3 linked regions of the Canis lupus familiaris genome follow. The protein of the gene in region 3 interacts with the protein of the main gene of each other region in a pairwise test. Links are inferred from orthologs where the notes say so. Each region holds a gene or a part of one and is shown on either strand. Other genes may lie near its edges.

The links.
Region 1: the proteins of TOP1 (region 3) and BTBD2 interact in a two-hybrid assay, tested with the Homo sapiens proteins (2 studies listed by BioGRID). The link is inferred for Canis lupus familiaris from reciprocal best matches to the Homo sapiens genes TOP1 and BTBD2.
Region 2: the proteins of TOP1 (region 3) and BTBD1 interact in a two-hybrid assay, tested with the Homo sapiens proteins (2 studies listed by BioGRID). The link is inferred for Canis lupus familiaris from reciprocal best matches to the Homo sapiens genes TOP1 and BTBD1.

The regions. Positions count from the first base shown.
Region 1 is NC_049241.1:57,472,372-57,479,555, forward strand, and holds the end of BTBD2 (BTB/POZ domain-containing protein 2), read left to right. Parts: intron 1-870; coding exon 871-1,027; intron 1,028-2,166; coding exon 2,167-2,272; intron 2,273-2,351; coding exon 2,352-2,549; intron 2,550-4,114; coding exon 4,115-4,307; intron 4,308-4,384; coding exon 4,385-4,472; intron 4,473-4,548; coding exon 4,549-4,695; intron 4,696-4,841; coding exon 4,842-5,003; 3' UTR 5,004-5,819; downstream 5,820-7,184.
Region 2 is NC_049224.1:55,321,273-55,329,194, forward strand, and holds the start of BTBD1 (BTB/POZ domain-containing protein 1), read right to left. Parts: upstream 5,119-7,922; 5' UTR 5,037-5,118; coding exon 4,630-5,036; intron 1-4,629.
Region 3 is NC_049245.1:29,728,272-29,735,455, forward strand, and holds part of TOP1 (DNA topoisomerase 1), read left to right. Parts: intron 1-1,993; exon of another isoform or gene 1,994-2,670; intron 2,671-2,844; exon of another isoform or gene 2,845-2,955; intron 2,956-3,626; coding exon 3,627-3,770; intron 3,771-4,640; coding exon 4,641-4,826; intron 4,827-5,914; coding exon 5,915-5,983; intron 5,984-6,515; coding exon 6,516-6,630; intron 6,631-7,184. UniProt on the Homo sapiens protein: Releases the supercoiling and torsional tension of DNA introduced during the DNA replication and transcription by transiently cleaving and rejoining one strand of the DNA duplex.

The sequences.
Region 1 (7,184 bases), on a different chromosome or scaffold from region 3:
AATTTGCCGAAACCCTGGCTTCCACTGAACTGCGGCGGGCTGCCGGTCTCCGGCCACAGCCTCCCTCTGGCTCCCCGGGGTTCGGGTCCCTACTGCTGAGCTGCCCCCCCAGGGTCGATGCTGTCCCAGCTGGTGTGTGAGGGGCTCCGTCCTGGCGCCCGTGCTGGCCGTCCTGGTCACAGGTGTCCCTGCTGCACTGCTGACCTCGGGGTTGGGGCCTGGGCGCTGTGGGGTTTTGAGCAGCCTCCCCGGTCACCTTGGGTCTGGGGTCTCCCTGACCCTACAGGATTATAGCTGCTGACGTGTGGGGCTGTGTTTGGCTTCTGGCACATTCTCCAGGGGACGGGGGACCCCGGACATGGGCACACCCTTCCAGGCTTTGCTCCTGCGGCTCCTTCATTCTGCATTCCCGCTGGCTTCGTACGAGGGATCTGATTCCTCCACCACCTTGTTTTTAAAAAATTTACCCCACTGTCCTGCTTCAAGTCCGGAGGTGGCGCTGGTCATGTGTCCAGGACCTGACTCAGGCTGGCGTTTCTGGTCCTGTGACGTCCAGGCCCAGGGGTGCGGAGAGCTCCGGGGATCCCAGGGCAGAGGCCTCCAGAGGGGCCGGTGGCCTTGGGCACTGGGGTCCTGGCCTGGGGGCGTCCCGCCGGGAAGGAAGCGGGCCTGCTGGATAGACCCGTGTCCTGGTGGCCGGTGGGTGGGGTCGCCGCCGGCTGGTCTGGCAGATAAGGGTCTTTGCCAGGTCCTATCTGCGGGGCACAGCGACAGGTGCCGGTTCTGGAAGGCTCCGGCTGGGCCGGGGGGCGGGGGCTGGAGCGGCGCCTGCCAGCTGCGTCCGCTGGTCCTAGTGTCCTGTCCCCTTAGGTTTCTCTACTCGGATGAGGTTCAGATCGGACCCGAGACCGTCATGACCACGCTGTACACCGCCAAGAAGTACGCGGTGCCCGCGCTCGAGGCCCACTGCGTGGAGTTCCTGAAGAAGAACCTCCGGGCTGACAACGCGTTCATGCTGCTCACGCAGGTGCGGGCAGCGGGGGGGGGGGGGGTCCGGGGGGGATTAGGGGTGCGTGGGGCGGGGGGAGGCAGGAGTTCGGGAGGTTGTGGGGCGCGGGTGCACGGGGGTGGGGGACACGAGGCCGGCTGAGGATGCGCGTGTGCAGGGCAAGGACACAGGTGCGTGGGCTCCGGCGAGGGGGGGGATGAGGGGGCGCAGGGCGGGGGCGGAGGGGGCAGGTAGGGACGCGGTGCGCAGGGCTACGTGAGGAAGCAGAGGAAGCGGGTGTGCGGGCGCTTCAGGGCGCGATGCTCTGAGAACGCAGGTGCGGGGGGGGGGGGGGGCGAGGAGGGACCCAGAGACCAGAGGCAAGCGGGGCAGGTGAGGATGCTGGGACCGTGCAAATGTGGGGGGCGGGGACGGGAGCCAGAGGCCCCCGAGGGGGGTGGGGGGTTCGGGGAGTGGGTCTCCGTTTAACATCCCTTAGATTCTGCAGCCGAGCGCCTGCCCCCGCGGCGCGCTGACCCGGGCCTTCCAGCAGGCGCCTGGTTTCCCGCAGGCATTTGGAGGCCCCTCTTCAGGGTCCCGGGTGGGAGAAAGGGTTTTCTCATTTCATCATTCGGTTCCTTTGAGGTCGCTTTCAGGCCCCGTGGCGCCGGGGGTTGGGGTGGGGTTGGCGTGGGGTTGGCGAGGCCTCGGGGGCACAGGCGGGCAGGGGACAGGCCCGCCGGGGCAGGGGGGCTGTCCCGGGGCGGCCCCCGCACTGTCTCCAGACGCGTGGGTCGTCCGGTCGTCCAGGTTGCTCTGCGGCGCTGAGCCAGGCCTGTCGGGAGGCCCGGAGCTGCCCCGGCAGCCAGGCCGGGGGTGGACGTGAGCGGCCGTAGGGTTGTGCTGGGCAGGAGCTGGAATCTTCCCCGCCGCCCCGCCCGCCCCCCATCCTGTGCGCAGGTTCCCGATGGAGCCGTCTCCGGCGGTCAGGGCTGCACTGCGTCCTGTCCCCGGGCTTCCTGCCCCCTGGGGCCTGTCCTGTCGGCCTCGGCCGGTCCCGGGGCTGCTCAGTCTGGGCACCGTGGCCCCCGCGGGACTTGAACTCCATGGCAGGTTTGAGCCAGAGGGCGTCTGGGGCCCCCGCCCGGGCAGCGTGTTGACGTGCTCCCCCTCGCCAGGCACGACTCTTCGACGAACCGCAGCTGGCCAGCCTGTGCCTGGAAAACATCGACAAGAACACCGCCGACGCCATCACTGCCGAGGGCTTCACGGACATCGACCTGGGTGAGGCCCCGGGGCAGGTTTGGGCGGGGGGTGGCGCCCGCCGAGGGCGCGCGGGGCGCTGAGGTGTCCCCTCCCGCAGACACGCTGGTGGCCGTGCTGGAGCGGGACACCCTGGGCATTCGCGAGGTGCGCCTGTTCAGCGCCGTCGTGCGCTGGTCCGAGGCCGAGTGCCAGCGGCAGCAGCTGCCCGTGACGCCCGAGAACAAGCGCAAGGTGCTGGGCAAGGCGCTCGCCCTCATCCGCTTCCCGCTCATGACCATCGAGGAGTTTGCCGCAGGTAACGGTCAGGGGGCGGGGGCCGCTCGGCAGGAGCACGGCCCCCGGGGGCCCCAGGTGTGACTCGGTCACGGCGCTCCGGCGGCCGCCCGAGCCAGCTGCGGGACACAGGTGTGCCCGTTTGCCGAGGACGCGCCCGCCGCGCTCACGTGGACGGCTGGCAGCCCGTCGGTGTGAACACAGAACAGCCCACCGCCGCCCCCGATGGGCGTCTGGGTTTCCTCCCCTCCACGTCTCGAGTGTCCCTGTGTGTGCGCCCACTGAGGGCCCCATCTCGGGTTTGCGTCCTGGGGACGGGCCTGCAAGGGGTGGGAGGGGGCTGGCGAGGGGGTGCCCGGCCGGGCTTCCTGCCCCGTGTGGACGCAGTGCTGGCAGCGGTGCCTGACTTGGAGCCGTCCCCCACCCGGGGCTGGAGGGTCCGGGACGAGGCCCCGTGTCAGCCTGGTGGCCGGTGCAGACCTAGGGTCTCGTGTCTCCGTGCGCCCCGCTTCCCTGCTCGGCGTTGCCAGATTTAGCAACGACGGTAACTAGCTGTTTAGCGCGAGGATCTGCCGTGTGGGACGCACTGACCCTGCAGATGAGTCCTCTGACCTGAAGCTCAGGCTTCCAGGTCCCGCGTCGTAGCTGGCCTCCGCACGTCACGTCAGCGTGGGGGCAGAGCTGCGTCCGTTCCGGGATCTCCCGTGCACCTAACACTTAGCGAGGCCGTGTGTGGGCCAGGCCCCGGCTGTACGCGGTGACCTCGGTGGCCTCGGTGGCCTGGTTGTTGGGGGCGGGGCGCTGTCCTGGGCTGGGAGCAGCGTTGTGAAGAGGTGGCCCCAGATACGGCTCAGAGGGCCCGAGGGCACCAGGGTGCCGGAGACAGAGCTGCCCTGTCCCATCCCAACACCCCTGGGAGCCCTGCGGGGCCCCCGTCTCCAGCCTGGCTTGCACCCCAAAACCGCTCTCGGGGGTCCGCCTGCCCACCTGGCTGCCGAGCCCCCGGGGCCCCAAGCGCTACAGGTGCCGTCCGCTCGCCCTTGGCGTGGGGCCTGTCCTGTAAGGCCCCCAGGCCGCAGCGTCCCCCTGCTCTGCCCAGGTCCCCGGGAATGGCACTGCGTGTGTCCTCGGGGCCGGGCTGGGCCTTCTGGGCCTGTGCTCCGCGGAGGGCGCCCACGGGGCCTTGGCCCTCGTCACTCGGCCCGTCTTAGAGGCGCCCCTGCTGCTGTGTCCCGCTGGAAACACGACACTAGAGAAGCTCGCAGACTCCGCCGAGGCCGCGCTCCCGTGTACTTTCCTCCTGCATTTCCAATGCAGAGATTAAAAAGAACCATGGTTACCGCGCTGCGTTCCACGTTGTATCTTCCTTGCTCTCCGTGGGGCTGGCCCCTGGCCCGGCCGCCGTGTCCGCGCGCGGTGCTGTCACCAGCCTGCAGACCCGCTCCCCGACCCCCTCGGCCCCGCCCCGTCTCGGGGAGCCCGGGCGGGGCGGCCGGTGCTGAGCCGGGCTGGCGCTTGCTGGGGGCCCCGCGTCTCCGCGTGCGCGGCCGCCCCGCCGGCGCCGACCTCCGCCCCCTGTGCCCGCAGGGCCCGCGCAGTCGGGCATCCTCGTGGACCGCGAGGTGGTCAGCCTCTTCCTGCACTTCACCGTCAACCCCAAGCCGCGCGTCGACTTCATCGACCGGCCGCGCTGCTGCCTCCGCGGGAAGGAGTGCAGCATCAACCGCTTCCAGCAGGTGGAGAGCCGCTGGGGCTACAGCGGCACCAGCGACCGCATCAGGTGGGCCGGCGCGCCGGTGGGGGCCGTGGGGCCGCGGGGCCGGCCGCGGCTCAGCGCCCCCTCTGTCCGCCGCCCAGGTTCTCGGTCAACAAGCGCATCTTCGTGGTTGGCTTTGGGCTCTACGGCTCCATCCACGGGCCCACGGACTACCAAGTGAACATCCAGGTGCGCGCCCCCCCCGCCCCCCCCGCGGGCCTCCGTGGGGTCGGGGGCTGGTGAGCAGCGCCTGCTCCCCCCACAGATCATCCACACGGACAGCAACACCGTCCTGGGCCAGAACGACACGGGCTTCAGCTGTGACGGCTCCGCCAGCACCTTCCGCGTCATGTTCAAGGAGCCGGTGGAGGTGCTGCCCAACGTCAACTACACGGCCTGCGCCACGCTCAAGGTGCCCACCCCGACCCCAGAGCCTAGCGGGCCGCCGACGCCAGCTCTGCTGCCTCCTGGGGCCACGGGGGGCGGGGGGCCCTGGGAGGGGCTGTGCGGCTCGCCGCCGCTGGGGCCCTGGTGCCTGACCGCAGGACCCCCCACCAGGGCCCAGACTCCCACTACGGCACCAAGGGCCTGCGCAAGGTGACGCACGAGTCCCCCACGACGGGGGCCAAGACGTGCTTCACGTTCTGCTACGCGGCCGGAAACAACAACGGCACGTCCGTGGAGGACGGCCAGATCCCCGAGGTCATCTTCTACACCTAGGCCACCCGGCCCGAAGCCACCTGATGCAAGTAGGCCGCCCCCACCCACGCCGCGCCCCCGCGGTCCCCATGCTGTGTGCGCTCCCCGCCGCGGTCCCGGGCGTCAGGAGAGGGTCTCTGCTCCGTGCGGCGAGCCTGGCCGCCTGCTGAGGAGCCGGCAGGGGCTGCGAGGCGGTCCCTCAGGACTCGGGGGGCAGGGCTGGCCTGGACCCGGCCCGAGCTGAGGGTCCGCGGGGCCCCTGGGGAGGCAGTGCTGCCCGCCGCCCGCCTGGCCACAGGATTGATCGATTCCGCGTCACGTTCTCTCACCGCACACGGCAATGCACCCTGGATTCCCATTCCCTGGTAGGCGGGCTGTGGGGGCGCCCCTAGTGCGTTTGCTTGGGGTCTCGTGTTCTGGTCCATTCAGTGGGGACGCTGAGGCCACGCTGACCCTGGCCCCCGGCACACTGGCCGAAGCCCCCCAACCCCGAGGTCCCGCAGGCTGGCTTTGTGCCAGGCCCAGGCCCACCCGGTGGGCCCCGTGAGCCGCGGGCGTGGACCTCAGGCCCTGTCTGCCCGGCCGGGCAGTGCCGGGGGTCAGCCACGGTGGCCAGGTCCCCGCCTGCCCCCTGTACATACTGCAGCCCTGCCCCACCCGGCCTCTGAGTGAGCACTGTGGCCAGAGGTGCTGGAGGGCGCAGCCCCTCCCCCGTCCCCCCACCCGTGTTTCCACCCCAGTGATCCTCCTGGAAATTCCTCCCCAAAGCCATGGAAGGTGTGCCCTCCTCACACCATACCCTCAAAGGATTTTTTTAAATAAAGGAAAGAAACATAACCACGCTGAGTGCTTTTTCCTGTCGGAGGCAATGGGGCAGGACCGTGGCAGCTGAGACCTGGCTCTTCGCTCTGCAGCCGTTTCTCCCACCTTAAGATTAGGGGGCCCAGGAAGGGCCTGTGACTTCCGCCTGGGTCTAGAATCCGGCTCCTGACAGACGTCCCAGCCTCGGGGCACCCAGAGCCCTTGGGGGCTCTCCCCATGCCCTGTCCTCTGCACAAACTTCTGGTCTGCCCATCACACCCCTGCTGTCCAGCAAGGGGGGCCCCCAGGGAAGGCTCTGCTGCAGCGCGCCGCACCCACACCTTGCTGGCTCTGCCCTCTGGCCCTGGGACCGCGCCTGGCACACAGGAGCTCCCTAGGCTGTGCCTGTGCAACGAGGGTAACCTGACCCAGGCCCCCCACCTGGCTCCGCCCTGCGCGTCAGGGAGTTCCTGACAACAGGCATAGAACAGGGCCTGACAGCTAAAAATCTACCCAAATGAATAAAGACATCAATCAGCACATTTAAAAATCTCAATGACCCAAAGTGAGATAAATTTAAAAATATTTTTAGAAATTAGGGCAGCCCGGGTGGCTCAGGGTTTAGCGCCTGCCTTCAGCCCAGGCCATGATCCTGGAGACCCAGGATCGAGTCCCGCATCGGGCTCCCTGCATGGAGCCTGCTTCCCCCTCTGCCTGTGTCTCTGCTCCTCTCTCTCTCTGTCTCTTATGAATAAATAAAACCTTTAAAACAGTATTTTTAGAAATTAAAAAATAAAAATTCACATATGCTCAAACTGCTAAGAAATGGGAAAAAATCTGAAAAACAGGAGAGGAGCACCTGGATGGCTCAGTTGGTTAAGCATCCTGGTTTCAGCTCTGGCCATGATCTTGGGGTCATGAGATCGAGTCCTGCGTTGGGGTCTCCACTCAGTGTGGAGCCTGCTGGAGACTCTCCCCCTCTGCCCCTCCCCTAACTGGTTAGTGTACACGCTCTTTCTCGCTCGAAATAAATAAATTTCTTAAAAAAAAAAAAACTACACCACACTACAATTCTGTGCCCTTCAAAAATGAAAATAAATGCAATGGAAGTTAAAAAACACCAAGACAGGACCAAAACACCACGTCAGCTGTTACACACAGATCTAAACACCCCAATTAAAAGACTGTCATACTGGATACAAAACCAAAACAAAACTACTTCCTAATTATAAGAGTCTCATTTTAATTACAAAGAAACAGAAAAACTGAAGATAAAAGATGGTAAGTTTCACTACACAAACACTACCCTTATGAGAAAGTCGGTGGGCCGGCGTCTGTATCCGGCAAAGGCGACTTTATTTTTTTAATATTTTATTTATTCATTTATGATGGACATGGGGG
Region 2 (7,922 bases), on a different chromosome or scaffold from region 3:
CAGTTAATCATGTCCCTTCCAGCCACCACTCCATTTCTCTTCCTTTCTGCAATACATCTGCTGCAGAGATGATTGTTTACACTAGCTGCCCCCCCCCCCCTCCCCGCCTCACGTCCTATTCCATCCCCAATCTACTCCAATCCATTTGCCACTCTTGCCAGGGTTACCAATAGCCTCATTTCACCCAACTCTCAGCAGCATTTAACACAGCTGACAGCTCCCCCTCGGTTGAAACACTTTCTTCACCTTGACTTTCAAGATCCCAGTCTCCTTGCTTCTATTAATTGCACTGCCAGCTGTGTCTCAGTCTCATTTTATTCTGTTCCCCTTCTACATCTCCCCTTGGTGGAGGCCCCCAGGGCTCATCCTGGTGCCTCTGTTCACAATCTGCATTCCCTCCCCAGATAATCTCATTTGGTCTCATGCTTTAAAAATCATCCACTTTTAGCTCTCAAATCTATGTTCTCTTCCCTAAACTCCGGGTTCATATTTATGGCTGTACTCTACAGCCCTCCTTGAACATCTTAGACATCTTGGTTCTACCTTTACAAAATACAGTTGACCTTTGAATAGCACAGGGATTAGGGACATGGCCTCCACTCCCTATCCCCCTCCCTCCACAAAGGTGAAAACCTGCATATAACTTTTGACTCCCCAAAAACTTTACTAATAGCCTACTGTTGACCAGAAGACATACTGATAACATAGTCAATTAATACATTATTTTGTATGTTGTATTATTATATACTGTATTCTTACAATTGAGTGAGCTAGAAAAAAGAAAATGTTATTAAGAAAATCATAAAGGAAAATATTTACTGTACTGTACTTGTTGGAAAAAATCCACATGTATGTGTGCCCATGTGGTTCAAACTCATGTCGTTCAAAGGTCAATCATATATTCACAATGTGATCACCTTTTATCCCAGTCACTCCCATTCTGGTATATATAACCCACTATCATTTTTCTTGCCTGGACTACTGCAAAAGCCTGTTAATTCAACTTGCTGCTCCTCCTTTTACTTCCTCTGCAGTCTAATCTCCAAACTGCCAGAATGAGTTTTTAAAAATGTAAATCAGATCCTATCACCTCCCCACTGAAAACTTTCCAAATGCTTCCCACCATATATCAGTCTCTCCACAGGCTATCCAGCCCTGTACAACCTTGTCCAGCCTGTCTTTCTGACCTCTTCCACCACTTCCCCCCTTATTCATTCTGCTCAAATCACACTGCTTTACTCTTGCAGTTCATTCAACAGGAGAAATTAAGGACCTTAGACACGCTTTGCCTTGGTGAGAATGCTCCTTCCCTCACAGCGTGATCATTTTTCTTTAAAATACTTATCAGAGACACCTGAGTGGCTCAGAGGTTGACCATCTGCCTTTGATTCAGGTCAAGATCCCGGGGTCCTGGGATTGAGTCCCACATCGGGATCCCCACAGGGAGCCTGCTTCTCCCTCTGCTGTGTCTCTGCCTCTCTCTGTGTCTCTCATGAATCAGTAAATAAAATCTTTTTTAAAATAAATAAAAATAAATAAATAAATAAAATACTTATCAATACTTGACATTATATCTTTGTTTTTCCTTACTAGATTTTAAACTACATGAGGGCAGGGACTTTTTCTTCTTCACTGCTGTATCCAACATCTAAAACAGTGGCTGGCACAAGGAAGGCATGCACGGTGTTTCTCAAATGAACTGAAGAACATCACTTTAAGGTCAGGCAGATCAAAACAAGCATTTTTTTATAACGCTAACTGACTCGATTTGTAAACATAATGAAAATAGGCCCAAGCTAACCAGTTTTCCCCACTCAGCAAGTACTAACTATGAGACATCTGTTTGTCACACAAGAATAAGTAAGGACAGCATCTATGCTTTCCCGGCCACCAATACCTTTTGGTCCAGATATCATGTAACAATCAGTCCAGATATCATTTCAGAACAGAACAATGACTGGAATCTGAGGAAGGACAAATACAATGACCACACTGAACATAGAAAAATTTCAAAGACTTTAAAATTAACCTACTTATTTTCTATTGATAGAAAGCATTGACTGATTAACAGCTTCAGTAAAAATATCTACTAAGCATTTTTCCCTCTGCATTCTTATTCTACCAATCTGTTTTTATTTTTTTTAAGATTTTTTTTTTGAGAGACAGTGAGCGAGAGAGCACAAGTGGGAGGCAGAGGGAGAAGCAGTCCCCCCCCTCCCCCCGAGCAGGGAGCCCCATGTAGGGCTTGATCCCAGGACCCAGAGATCACAACCTGGTGTCCCCAATCCCTAATTTTATTTTTTTTTAATTTTTTTAAATTTATTTATGATAGTCACAGAGAGAGAGAGAGGCAGAGACATAGGCAGAGGGAGAAGCAGGCTCCATGCACTGGGAGCCCGACGTGGGATTCGATCCCGGGTCTCCAGGATCGCGCTCTGGGCCAAAGGCAGGCGCCAAACCGCTGTGCCACCCAGGGATCCCCCAATCCCTAATTTTAAAGGAAAAAACTGGACAGTATTTTTAGATCAGTGGCTCTCATATTTAGTCGGTACTAGTATTTACAGAGAGTATTAAAAACGCTCTCAAGGTCCCATCTCCAAACATTACAATATTTCAAAGAGGGAGGAAGGGATCTATAAATTTAACAAGCACTCAAGGATATTACAATGCAGGTACACCAACAATCGCTTTAAAATACAGTCTAGAAAATCTAAACAAGCTATAACCAATCCTCCTGTCAATGACCTCAAACCAAAATGAGAATGACCTCGATCCTAGCTTTTGAGCCTTTTTTTTCCCTCTCTCTTTATAAATGTAATTTAACTAAATTGCATAGATTATGGGAAACAAAGAGAAAAGAGGAAGAAAAAGGCAGTATCATCTCACCACTCCAATAAAGCTCTGGTTAGCATTTTGGTATACTTTCTCCTATCCACATCTCTAGGTATATGTTTGTTCCCTTACTCTTCACAATTTTATCCACAGCACAGTTTCCAGGGCTATTATACACATTTCCCATGTTAATATTACCTCGTCCTCATCAGTCTCCTGCTCAGTAGCATTATACTGCATCTAAAGTACTATCATTGTTTATCTAACCATTCCCTCCAGCTAACTGCTTCCTTACTACTATAAATAACCCAGCTGTAAATATTTTTATACACATTTTTTTCAGTACCTGAACACGGGGGGGGGGGGGGGGGGGGGGGGGGGGGAGGCAGGGCATCTATAGTGCCAAACTGTTCTGCCACCACCTTTATCAGAGAAGGCTTTTCCAATATTATCTTAGCTTTTCCAATATTATCTTTAAAATACTGGGAGGAAAGGGTTTGCTTTTAATTTCTATTTCTTTACTCACTGAGGTTAAACATTCTTTGTTAATCGGCTGTATCTTTTTTTTTTTTATTCATGAGACACAGAGAGAGAGGCAGAGACACAGGCAGAGGGAGAAGCAAGCTCCATGCAGGGAGCCCGACGTGCGACTCGATCCAGGGTCTCCAGGATCAAGCCCTGGGCCGCTAAACCGCTGAGCCACCCGGGCTGCCCAGCTCTATCTTTTCTTTAAGTGAGTTATCTACCCTGCCTTTTGCCCACTTTTTATGGGACTTTAAACTTTTTTTTTTAATATTTTTTATTTATTTATGGTAGTCACAGAGAGAGAGAGAGAGAGAGAGGCAGAGACATAGGCAGAGGGAGAAGCAGGCTCCATGCACCAGGAGCCCGACGTGGGATTCGATCCCGGGTCTCCAGGATCGCGCCCTGGGCCAAAGGCAGGCGCCAAACCGCTGCGCCACCCAGGGATCCCTTATGGGACTTTAGTATTCCTTTTCTACTTCTTTTATCTTTGTATTGTTTCCCACTAATCTTCCTGATCGAGCTGTGGACGGACTAGGTATCTGTTCACGACCTGTTTTTTTGGCTCAGCACCACCCAAGACTCTGCTAGTTTAGGAAGACACTGTTGTCAGGCACCCTCTAGATGGAATGAAGCACTCACGGTCTTCCTTCCGAGGCTGCTGTTACCTTGGCCAGTCGCTTGACTTTTCTGGACCCCAATCCCAAATGGGGAAGTATAAAAAAACAATACCTACACTTCCCCAACCGGACTTCTGTGAATGCAAGCTAATAATGCCAAACGATTAGCTCCCTTCCGTGAACTAGAATGAATCAGAAGCCCGTGTAGCATTCTCCGATGAGCCAAAAGCAAACTCCTCAACACTGGCGGCTGGGTTTGTTTTTAAGCAGATGTGACCTTGTCTGCAGAAAGGCCACACCTACCTGTTTTGGTCCTGCCTCCCTGGGTCCTGACAACCGAGGCAGAGGCTAACGAAAAAGGAGTCGGAATTTATAACGCAAAAAATGGGTCCTACGAGAGTTCTCCGCTCCCCGACCCCCACCCCCCGCCGGTCCCCAAGAAAAGGACAAGTAAAACTTGGCGAATGGGCCCTCGGGACAAGCTGGTCCACACCGCAGCCCACCGGTGCTCCGATCCCGAAGGTCGGCGACAGTCGGGGGCCGGACCCGACCAGGAGGGCGCTCGCCCAGCGGACGCGGACACGGGACGGTGCCCGGCCGCCGGGAGGAAACTGAGGCCCGGACCCGCGGGAGAGGGCCGCGGGGGGCCGCTCACCTCAGCAGCGCCAGGAAGGCGGCGGGCTCCACGTCGGGCAGCTCGATCTCGGCCGACGTGGTGGCCATGCCGCCGTTGAACATGGCGTCGAAGACGGCGCTGCCGGCCGCCAGCACGAAGCGGTGCGCGGGGATGCGCTGCGGGCCCCCGGCCGCCGCCGCGCCGCGGCCCTTGCCCAGCACGAAGCGCACATCGCTCAGCAGCTCCGAGTTGAAGAGGAAGGCGAAGCGCTCCTTCAGCGACGCCTTGGTCGCCTGCCAGTTGTACAGCGGCTCCCGCTGCAGGGGGAGCAGGGGCCCCAGAGAGGACGGCGGCGGCGGCGGCGGCGGCGGAGGCCCCGCGGCGCCCGGTTCCGCCTCGGCCCCCGGGACCTGCTCGCCCGCAGCGGCCGGCCCGAGCGAGGCCATCCTCCAGCGGCGCGGCAACTCGGGCTAGGCAGAGAGCTCCCGCCGCCCAGCAGCCATCACCGAGGCCGCCCCGGAGGCCGGCGCCGCCTGGGTGCCTTCCGGGAAAGGCGCTTCCGGCGGCCGCGCCCCGCCCCGCCCCGCCCCGCCCCGCCCACGGCTGCCCCGCCCCGCCCCGCCCACGGCTGCCCGGCGCGCGCCTCTCTGGCCCCGCCCCGCTCCGCTCCGCCCCGCCCACGGCTGCCCGGCGCGCGCGCGACCGCCGGAGCCGAGCCCCCGAAGCTCGAAGCCCTGAGCGGTGGGCGGGGGTTCCCGAGGCCCTGTGCACGCCCCTGCGCACCCCGACCCACAGCCTGCCCTCATCAGCTGCAGTGCCTCCCACGTGTCCCAGGGGCAGGTCCCTAGGCTGTCCCTCCAGGACTTTCCCCGCCTGCAAACGGGCGGGGGCGCCGAGGACTTGGCCACAGGAGCACGGGGGAGGGGACGACAGGATTTCCCCCCCCTTCCCTTATAATGTCCCCTCCTCCGCAGGGTAGCAGAGCTTGGACTCCTCTCTGCTCAGCAGCCCCCATTCTTCCTCTCTGTTGTCTCTGTATCACTGTGGACTCATGGAATCTTTTTTAAAATGTCTTATAATCCATTGCTAAAAATTAACAGTATCTTAAATCTAAAAACAAAACAACAACAACAAAAAAACCCACAACCACTCAAGTGTACCAGAGCAAAAATAGAGGCTATATTATCTAGTACTGAGCAATGATCATAATTTAATCGCAGGAAATCTGAGGACACGGCGTTTCAAAACTTGCGGAATGCAACGAAAGCTGAGTTCAAGGCTAAAGTATAGCCCAAGCCACTCTTTCTGCGCAACTGGAAATAGTAAAAATTAAATGAAGTAGAGGATTCTGGGAAGGTGGCAGAGGAGGAAGCACCCGGGAATCTAGCTCCCCTCCTAGATAGCAGCTGCTGGCGGGATCTGTGTGGTGGGGCTATTTTGGAGGCCTGGAGCCTGTTGAAAGCAGTAACTTCTAGGGGAAGATTTGGACAGTACGTCACTGTCAATTTCTGTCAATTTCAGATCTTTGCACAGAAGCAGCTACCCATCCCTCATCCCCAGCCACATGGAAGGCAGGCAGCTGCACCCATGTTCATGGAGCACCAAGCACACCGTCTGGAGGAGCCACAGTGGGCAAAAGGAACCTGTTCTCAGAATATCCGGGCTCTGGGCGTGGATTCTTGCTTGCAATCACAATCCAAAGAGGCAGGCAGCAGGTCTTTGCATTTCTTCCTTTGTTGCAAGCACTTCCTTCCTTCAGCAGAAATGACTTCCACTGTATTTAAAGGACCAGCACCCAATTCACCCTCCATTTTCTTACGTTTTCCCCTTTTGGGAGTCAGACATTAAAAACTACTGCAATAGAAAAACAACTGCAGACGCTTGGGTGGCTCAGCAGTTGAGCATCTGTTTTTGGCTCAGGGTGTGATTGTGGTCCCCTGGTCCCGGGATCAAGTCCCACATTGGGCTCCATGCCGGGAGCCCGCCTCTCCCTCTGTTTATGTCTCTGCCTCTCCTCTGTGTCTCTTGTGAATAAATAAATAAAATATTTTTTTTAAAAAAAGCTGCATATTGGGGCAAATTAGAAAATGATCATCCATACCCAAGGAAAGGCTGAGTGAAGACCTTAAATTTACACCTCAGGCTGATCCTTGGCATAGAGAAAATAATCCTACAGCAATAAAAAAAAACAAAACAATAACAAAAAAGCAGCAAACCCCAGGGAAGCAGGAGAATCTGATTTCCAGAGTTACCATATTACTAGATTTAAATGTCCCATGTTCAACAAAAAGTTGCAAGGCATACAAAGAAACAGGAAAGTATGGTCCATTCAAAGGGAAAAAATAAGCAGAAACAGTCCTTGAAGAAGATCTAGTGGCAGATGATAGGGGAACACAGGGCAAGCTGAGGACAAGGCTTTATTTAGCTTGGGGCAGCACGGGGCAGCACATTGACAATTCCTTGACAATTTAGGCAAGGGACATCCCTCAACGGACTCAACTGCCTCGATGTTCATACTCTGCTAAGGGCAGAAGGCAATCTTAGCCCAACCCCCAGGAGCCTGTAAGTCTACTTTAACATATAAAAATTCCTTTAGAAATTTCCTTTATCTCTACCCACCAGGATATGTGTTGGTGATCATCCCCCAAGCACATAGCGCACCCCGATACACATCTGAAGGGTCTCATGACTCAGGTCTTATTAGCCAGTAATAAGTGACCTTTCCCCCAACAATAGCTAACCTCCTCAAGGTCCTGGAAAACTTGCTTCCAAAATTCCTTAGTACGCTATCCCCAAAACCCTCCCAACTTCCAGGTATATAATCAATCACCCCTCATAGACCTGGGGTGGCAACTCTTGATTGATCTGTCTGTCCATAGATCCTGTCCCTGTGCTTTAATAAAGCCACCATTTTGCACCAAAGACGTCTCAAGAATTCTTGGCCATCAGCTCCAGACTTCACCTATATTCCAAAACTTCATCAGCAGATATACAAGGCAAACTTTAAAATAACTGTCCCCCCCACTTTTTTTAAGATTTTATTTATTTGACAGGGACCACAAGTAGAGGGAGGGGCAGAGGGAGAGGGAGAAGCAGGCTCCCCAATGCCAATGCCCATGCCAATGTTGGGGCTCCATGCCAGGACCCTGGTATTATGATAACCCACTGAGCCACCCAGGTGCCCCTAAAATAACTGTCTGACAGTTGCTCAGAGAATTTAAGGAAAATATGGAAGAGACCAAGAAAATGATGTATGAACAGAATGGAAATGTCAATGAAAAGATAGAAAACCTAAAAAGAAACAAACAAAAAACACCCCACAATTTCTGGAG
Region 3 (7,184 bases):
AAAACCTAAGTTCGGGATCCCTGAGTAGCTCAGCGGTTTGGCACCTGCCTTTGGCCCAGGGTGTGATCCTAGAGTCCTGGGATCGAGTCCTGCATCAGGCTCCCACCATGGAGTCTGCTTCTCCCTCCTCCTGTGTCTCTGTGCCTCTCTCTTTCTATCATAAATCAATCTTTTAAAAAAACTTGAGTTCAACATAGGATACTGTTACTAAATACATGTTACTGGGAGAGAATATTGGCAGCATGTATATCTGATGGAAAACTTGTATTCAGAATACACAAAGAATTCTATAACTCCATAATAAAAGAAAGCAAGACTCAAACGGATGCTTTACAAGAGAGAAATGGCCAATAAATAAGCACATGAAAGAGTTCTTGACCTCACTAATTATCAATGGAATGCAGATTTAAACCACAATGAGGTGACTAATTCCAGTTCTAGGTATTTTTACCCCAAATAAATTGAAAACCTGTGTCCATAAAAAGATCTGTACAAGAATGTTTATTGCAGCATTATATTAATGCAGGTCTCAAATTGGAAACATTCTAGGGGGTCCATCAACAGAATAAATACATGGTCTGGTCAGACACATTAGGGATAGTCATAGATTATACCATATATACTAGCAGTTGGATGAAGTGAACTAATGAATGCAGCAACATGGATGAATCTTTTTTTTTTTTAAGATTTTATTTAAGAAAAAAAATTTTAAGAGAATGAGCATAGGGGGAGGGGCGGTGAGAGGGATAGAGAGAGAATCTCAAGCTCAGTGCAGAGCCTAATATAGGGCTCAATCTCACAACCCTGAGATCGTGACCTTGAGCCAAAATCAAGAGTCAGACACTCAAACCAACTGAGTCACCTAGGCACCCCAACGTGGATGAATCTTAAAATACATGTTGAAAAGCCTAGACACACAAGCCTATACTGTATGATTCTGTTTATATAATACTTTAAATTAGGCAAAATCTAATCTATGATGATAGAAATTAAAGAACAGTGATTGCTTAGTTGTTGATTAACCAGAAAGGGGCATGAGTGAACTTTCTCTAATGATAGAGAATACTCTCTCCCTCTCTCTCTCTCTTTTTTTTTTAAGATTTTATTTTTTTAATTCATGAGAGACACGCAGAGGGAGCAGGAGGCTCCCTACGAGGAGCCCGATGTGGGACTTGATCCCAGGACCCCTGGATCCCGACCTGAGCCAAAGGGAGATGCTCAACCACTGAGCCACCCAGGTGCCCTGAGAATAGTCTGTGTCTTAATGGGATGTAGGTTACATGGGTTATGAATTGTCAAAACTGATCAAACTATATAACATAAAATCTTTTCTAAAAGATTCAGAATAGGGACACCTGAGTCCTGTATAATCAAGTTAGATTCTTATCCATACAAAAGTTTGGGTAGGGGAAAATGGAAAGGGTTAAAGGCAAGCTTCCTATAGTGGATACCTTGTTTTACTGAGACGGTTTTGATGATGACCTTATCTGGAAAACCGAAATGGGTATTTTATTTTCTAGTAGTCTGAGAAAGCTTGTTCAAGTGTAATTTACTGTCTGCTTAGAGAAACTTCGAAGACAGCAGGGATAAGCATACTTCCTGGAGCCAGCCTTCCCTTAGACCTAGACAAGGTGGCATCTGCCCCCACCCTCCCATCTTTGTATCCTTATTTGAGACTCCTGGATCCTTGCATCAAGAGCCCAGCCATCCTGTGAAGAAAAGTTGATCTTGTGGTATCCTCTGTGAATAACTTATTTGTTGCGTTTTTCTAAACCTTGTTTTGGTGGCATGACTAAGGAATTGGGCAAATGTAACCCTATGGGACTTTGAAGACTTGGAGTAAGGCTTTGGTAGGCCTATGTGCATTAGAGTGATGGCCAAGAGCCGGCTCCTTAACTGGAGACTATACTATTAAAGATGAGTCTTTGATGTCGTGTGTGTGTGTGTGTGTGTGTGTGTGTGTGTGTGTATAAGGGAGAGAGAGAGAAAGACATGATTGTCATGGAAATTTATTACTGACTCGTACATGAAGACAGCTGGTATCACACCTTTTTCTTCACCCTTTTAAATGTCAATATGTACTAAGAAAAATCTGAGAAATTTTAAGCTTCCCTTTGTCAGGAAATAGAACTTAGATATTTCTTCTTAGATATTGTATCACCAACTGCTTAATTGCCCACCCACAACAACAAGTAGTTACTGAACCTCTTATTTTATAGCCAAACAAGTACATACAACTTGGCCACACACAGTTGTGGGAGAGTGCTGATGAATCCTTAGCATACCCAGGTGAGCTTGCATTTCTGAGTGTTGTTAGAGCTAGACGTAGAAGATGTTTCTCACTTACACATAGCTCACTTTCCTGCATGCTCAGAAGGCTAGTTACCGTGACCATGATTATTAAACTTCAAGGACCAATGTCGCATGTCAGATGGGAACTAGGCATATGTGGGTAGAAATCACTATCCCTCTCTCTTGTGGTTGGGAGAATTAAGAGCAGAGATTCTTGGGTTCTTAAAATCCATCCTTGTGGGGGATCCCTGGGTGGCTCAGCGGTTTAACGCCTGCCTTTGGCCCAGGGTGCGATCCTGGAGTCTCAAGATTGAGTCCCACGTCGGGCTCCCGGCATGGAGCCTGCTTCTCCTTCCTCCTGTGTCTCTGCCTCTCTCTCTGAAAGGAAGGAAGGAAGGAAAGGAAAAAGGAAAGAAAGAAATAAGCAAACTAGCTAGCTTTAAAAAAAAAAAAAAATCCATCCTTGTAGTCATGTCATATAATTTGTTTTAGGCCTTAGAATACTCCCTGACCCTCTTGGGATTTCATAGATGTTTCTCCCCCCTTTCTTACCTTTCTCACTTGACATTAGTATCAGTCCTTGCTTGTGAATCTTGTTTCCATTCAATATGGTAGCAGAAATAATCTTCTGTCACTGTTGATTAGATTCAGTCTTTTCATACCCTTTTAAAAACACGTCATTGGCTTTAGAATAAATTTTTAGAACTTGTACCAAAAACTAATGTTTTGAGAAGAAAAAGTCTTCTCAGTAACATTGTTTCCCCTCAATCTAATCAAAAATACTCTTAAATGCAGAAGTTAGAAAATGGTGAATAATTACCACTGTTCCTGGAAGTCTTTGTGTTCCTTAGTAATTAATGTGTTGTGTCATCTTTGGTTCTGCTTCTTGACAGTCCATCAAACTGAATGGTTGTCTTGGATTTGTATTTAATGAAATTTAGTCCTAGCAGAAAACTGTTGGGTCACAGACTCTACAGCAGAGCATTGATGCTGATGTGGGGATGGGGATATTTATACCTTTGTATTGATAGAAGTCCATTTTGGGGACGTGCCATTTGGGCTTTTCCCAAGAACATAATCACTTTACAGAATGAAAGCCAGAGGCTGGCTTAGTAACTAGACAGGGGCCTGTTGTGCTTGACAGTGAAACGAGACTAACATGAGTTCTCACCAGGTTAGATACTCTAAAATTTCTCTTCAGTACTCTTCTTTTTCTACCTTGCTTATGCTCAGGTTCCTTTGGTTCAGAGCTCTGAGCTTGAATATTCAAAGTCTATTTTTACTCTACCATCCCTACACAATCTACATAGACCTTTGGGTTTGGGTCTTTGCAGGGTGAGAAAGACTGGCAGAAATATGAGACTGCTCGGCGACTGAAGAAGTGTGTGGATAAAATCCGGAACCAATATAGAGAAGACTGGAAGTCCAAAGAGATGAAAGTCCGGCAGAGAGCTGTAGCCCTATACTTCATAGACAAGGTGAGCATCTTCCTATCACATTGCCTAATACGTTGGGCTTACCAAATATGGGATTGTTTACATTTCCAGGCCTTGTGCTAAGTACTGGAGCAGTACCCATCTCTGGTCCAATAAGGAGGGTAGAAGTGGAGAGAGAGGCATTTGGAGTCTGCTGGTCTCTAAATCTGAATCTTCTGCAAATACTATGACATTTTCAAACTGAGTATAAGCCACCAAAAAAATTTTTATTTTACGTCATGACCCAACACACATAAATATATTTGTAGTTGTGTGTAACTGCAAAGCTGCACAAAACAGTGTTTAGCCTTTCTACAAGCAATGAATTCTGACATTTTAATTTTTTTCTTGTTTTTAAAAAGAATGGTTATAACCCTTAAAATTGGTTAAACAATCCATGAATGTTTCACAACTATACTTTGAAGGACCATGCTCTAGAGGAGATGAGTTTGTCACTACCTTTTTGAAGATTTTGGTTTCTTTCCCAATTTTGCACTGCTTAGCACAAAATCTAAATTATCTCAAAAATTAAGCAAAATTAGGAGACTACTGAGTCTATCACCCAGAATAGGAATACTCTCTTGTTTGCTGCTTTGTTGTTGTTGTTGTTTTTTTTTAATTTCTTCCTTTCCTCCATTCTTATTTGAGAGAACAGAGTAAAGAGAAGCTTGGTTTTATGAGAAAGGGTAATATCACTATGATTCTCTGTACTTCATTTTATAGAGGAAGGAGCATATAGAATCCAGAATTCCCAAGCCTTGCAGACTGATACTCTATCCCCAGAGTTAGGAGACTTCTGATTTGGATTTCCTAGAGATCGTAGAAAATTGAAGTTTTTTCATTTGCTCTCATTTCTCCCTACTTCCTGGACAGCTTGCTCTGAGAGCAGGCAATGAGAAGGAGGAAGGAGAAACAGCGGACACAGTGGGTTGCTGCTCGCTTCGTGTGGAGCATATCAATCTGCACCCAGAGTTGGATGGTCAGGAATACGTGGTAGAGTTTGACTTCCTTGGAAAAGATTCGATCAGATACTATAATAAAGTCCCTGTTGAGAAACGAGTAAGTTACTTTGGCCTGTGCACCCTGGCCTGTTTTTCCTTCATTTCTTTCGTTCGTTCGTTCGTTCATTCATTCATTCATTCATTCAGCAAGCATATATTGAGTGCTTTTTGTATGCTCTTCACTTGCTGAACACTAGGGAAATAGTTTGAAAGAGAGAGGAGAGGTATTGGTTGTCCTGTGTACCTCCTTTTAGTCCCTGTCCCTCACCTACCACCCCGTGCTACACCTTCCTGGGAATGAGGGCACCATGTCCTAAAGTAACAGTCAACAGTGCATGCTGTAGAGTGTTGGCCCTAGTGGCAAACTTTAGCATAAGATTTAACTCACCTTACTGTAATGATTCAACCACATTTCCATACCCCCGGTCTTGTTGCATATTTGTCATTTTTGTAACTTTGCTCAACCTCTCTCTGAACTCCTGACTGAGCCAAGCAATAGCCCTTTAGTCCTCAAATCTCTGAGCCCATACCCAAAGAGGGCACTGCAGCTCCATGTCCATCCGTCCCCCCCCCCCCCCCCAACTCTTGGGCTTGAACCTGTAATCTAGCCCTTTAAAAGTCTGATATTTAATCAGTCATTAGGCTTTGTTGGCTGTGGCAGTGGTCCATACTAAAGAAGTGCTAAAGAGACATGACAACTAAATGTAATACCTTAGATTGGATTCCATCCTGGAGAAGTAGAGGACATCATTAGGTCAGCTGACCAAATTGGAATATGAACAGTAGATTGAAGCATATATACATGCAAATTTATGAAGCTGATAAGTACTGTGTGAATGCAAGGGAGTATCTCTATCCTTAGGAAGTTCTTAGGAAATACACGGAGATATTTAAGGATAAAGGGCTCATAAATGATTCAGGACAAACAGTTGTGTGTCTACACACATGTATGTAGAGATGGAAGTGAGGCAGACATGTATTGTGCAATGGTGAATGTTGTATAAAACGTTAATGGTCAGTGAATCGGTAAAAGGATGTGGGTATGGGTATGCCTTATGCTTTTTTATTTTCTAAGTTTTTGTAAGTTTGTAATTATTTCCAAAGTAAAGGCTTTTTAAATAATAGGTTCTACTTATTTTCCTTTAGGTTTTTAAGAACTTACAGCTATTTATGGAGAACAAACAGCCTGAGGATGATCTTTTTGATAGACTCAATGTGAGTGGACAGATTGCACGGGTTGAAGGAGGGGCCCAGCCGGAGCCTCCTCACAAGCTCCTAAAGGAGAGGTTTGCCTGGGGGTGACTTGGACTACTATCCCTTCAGTTTGTCCTGTGGCATCCTATACACTGTTCCTTCTGCAGGCACACAGTGAATCCATGACCAAAGCCCTCAGACAGGTGGACAGACCCTACCTTTTATTCTCTTCTGGCTCTTGCAGAGTCGTCTTTTGGCTGGATACCCAGCCATCTCTGAGATTGAAGGCCTCTCCCTATATCTTATCAGGGAAGATCTTAATGGGGGAAGGACAAATTTGCTTTATTGTCCTGCTTAAGATTAACATACTTCATAGGGAGATATCACGCACCCTGTGTTTTGGAATTTTTTTCTAACTTCCCACTGGCAGGGCAATAAACTTGGCAAACTTGAGATTACACTGGTATAAATGTCCTAGGGCTTGCCAGAAGGGGCAGAGTGGTTTAGCTTTTGCATAAATCCCAATATCCTCTCTGTGCTTTGTCTCCTCCAGACTGGTATTCTAAATAAGCATCTTCAGGATCTTATGGAGGGCCTGACAGCCAAGGTGTTCCGTACATACAATGCCTCCATCACGCTACAGCAGCAGCTAAAAGAACTCACAGCCCGTAAGTACTTGTTGGCCAGACAGGCTTGCACACTTCCTGGTATGTCCATTGCCCTTGCTGAGCTAAGTCCTAGAGCTTTTCTGCTATTCTCCTTAATTTTTATCACTGGAAACTTTTCCTTCTATACCTCTAATAGAGAGCCAAGGCCTAGTTGTATAAACATAAAATCAGTGTAGTTTCCCCCTTCCTACCCCAAGTTCAAGATTTATTTTCGTGGAATGCTGACAGGAGCTTTCTGAAAGTACCTACATTTGATGGTTTATATGTATGTTTTTTGAAAACTCACAGAGTGAAGACATAGTGCTATGATGCTTGGTTAAATTGGAGAGAATAAGGTTTTCATGGTTATTTTTTAAACCAGGAGCACATCCTTCCCCTGAGGTTTCTGTCACCCCCCCCCCTTAAAATAGTAGGTAGTATTTTCCTAAAAACTAGGTGCAGAAGGTACAACCAAGATACACAAGCTTTTTTTCCCTAGAGCCCAGTCACTGCTAAATTCTACCTATCCTCTAAAAGTACATCAAATAGCTTTAGAATATAAGACTAAAAATCCA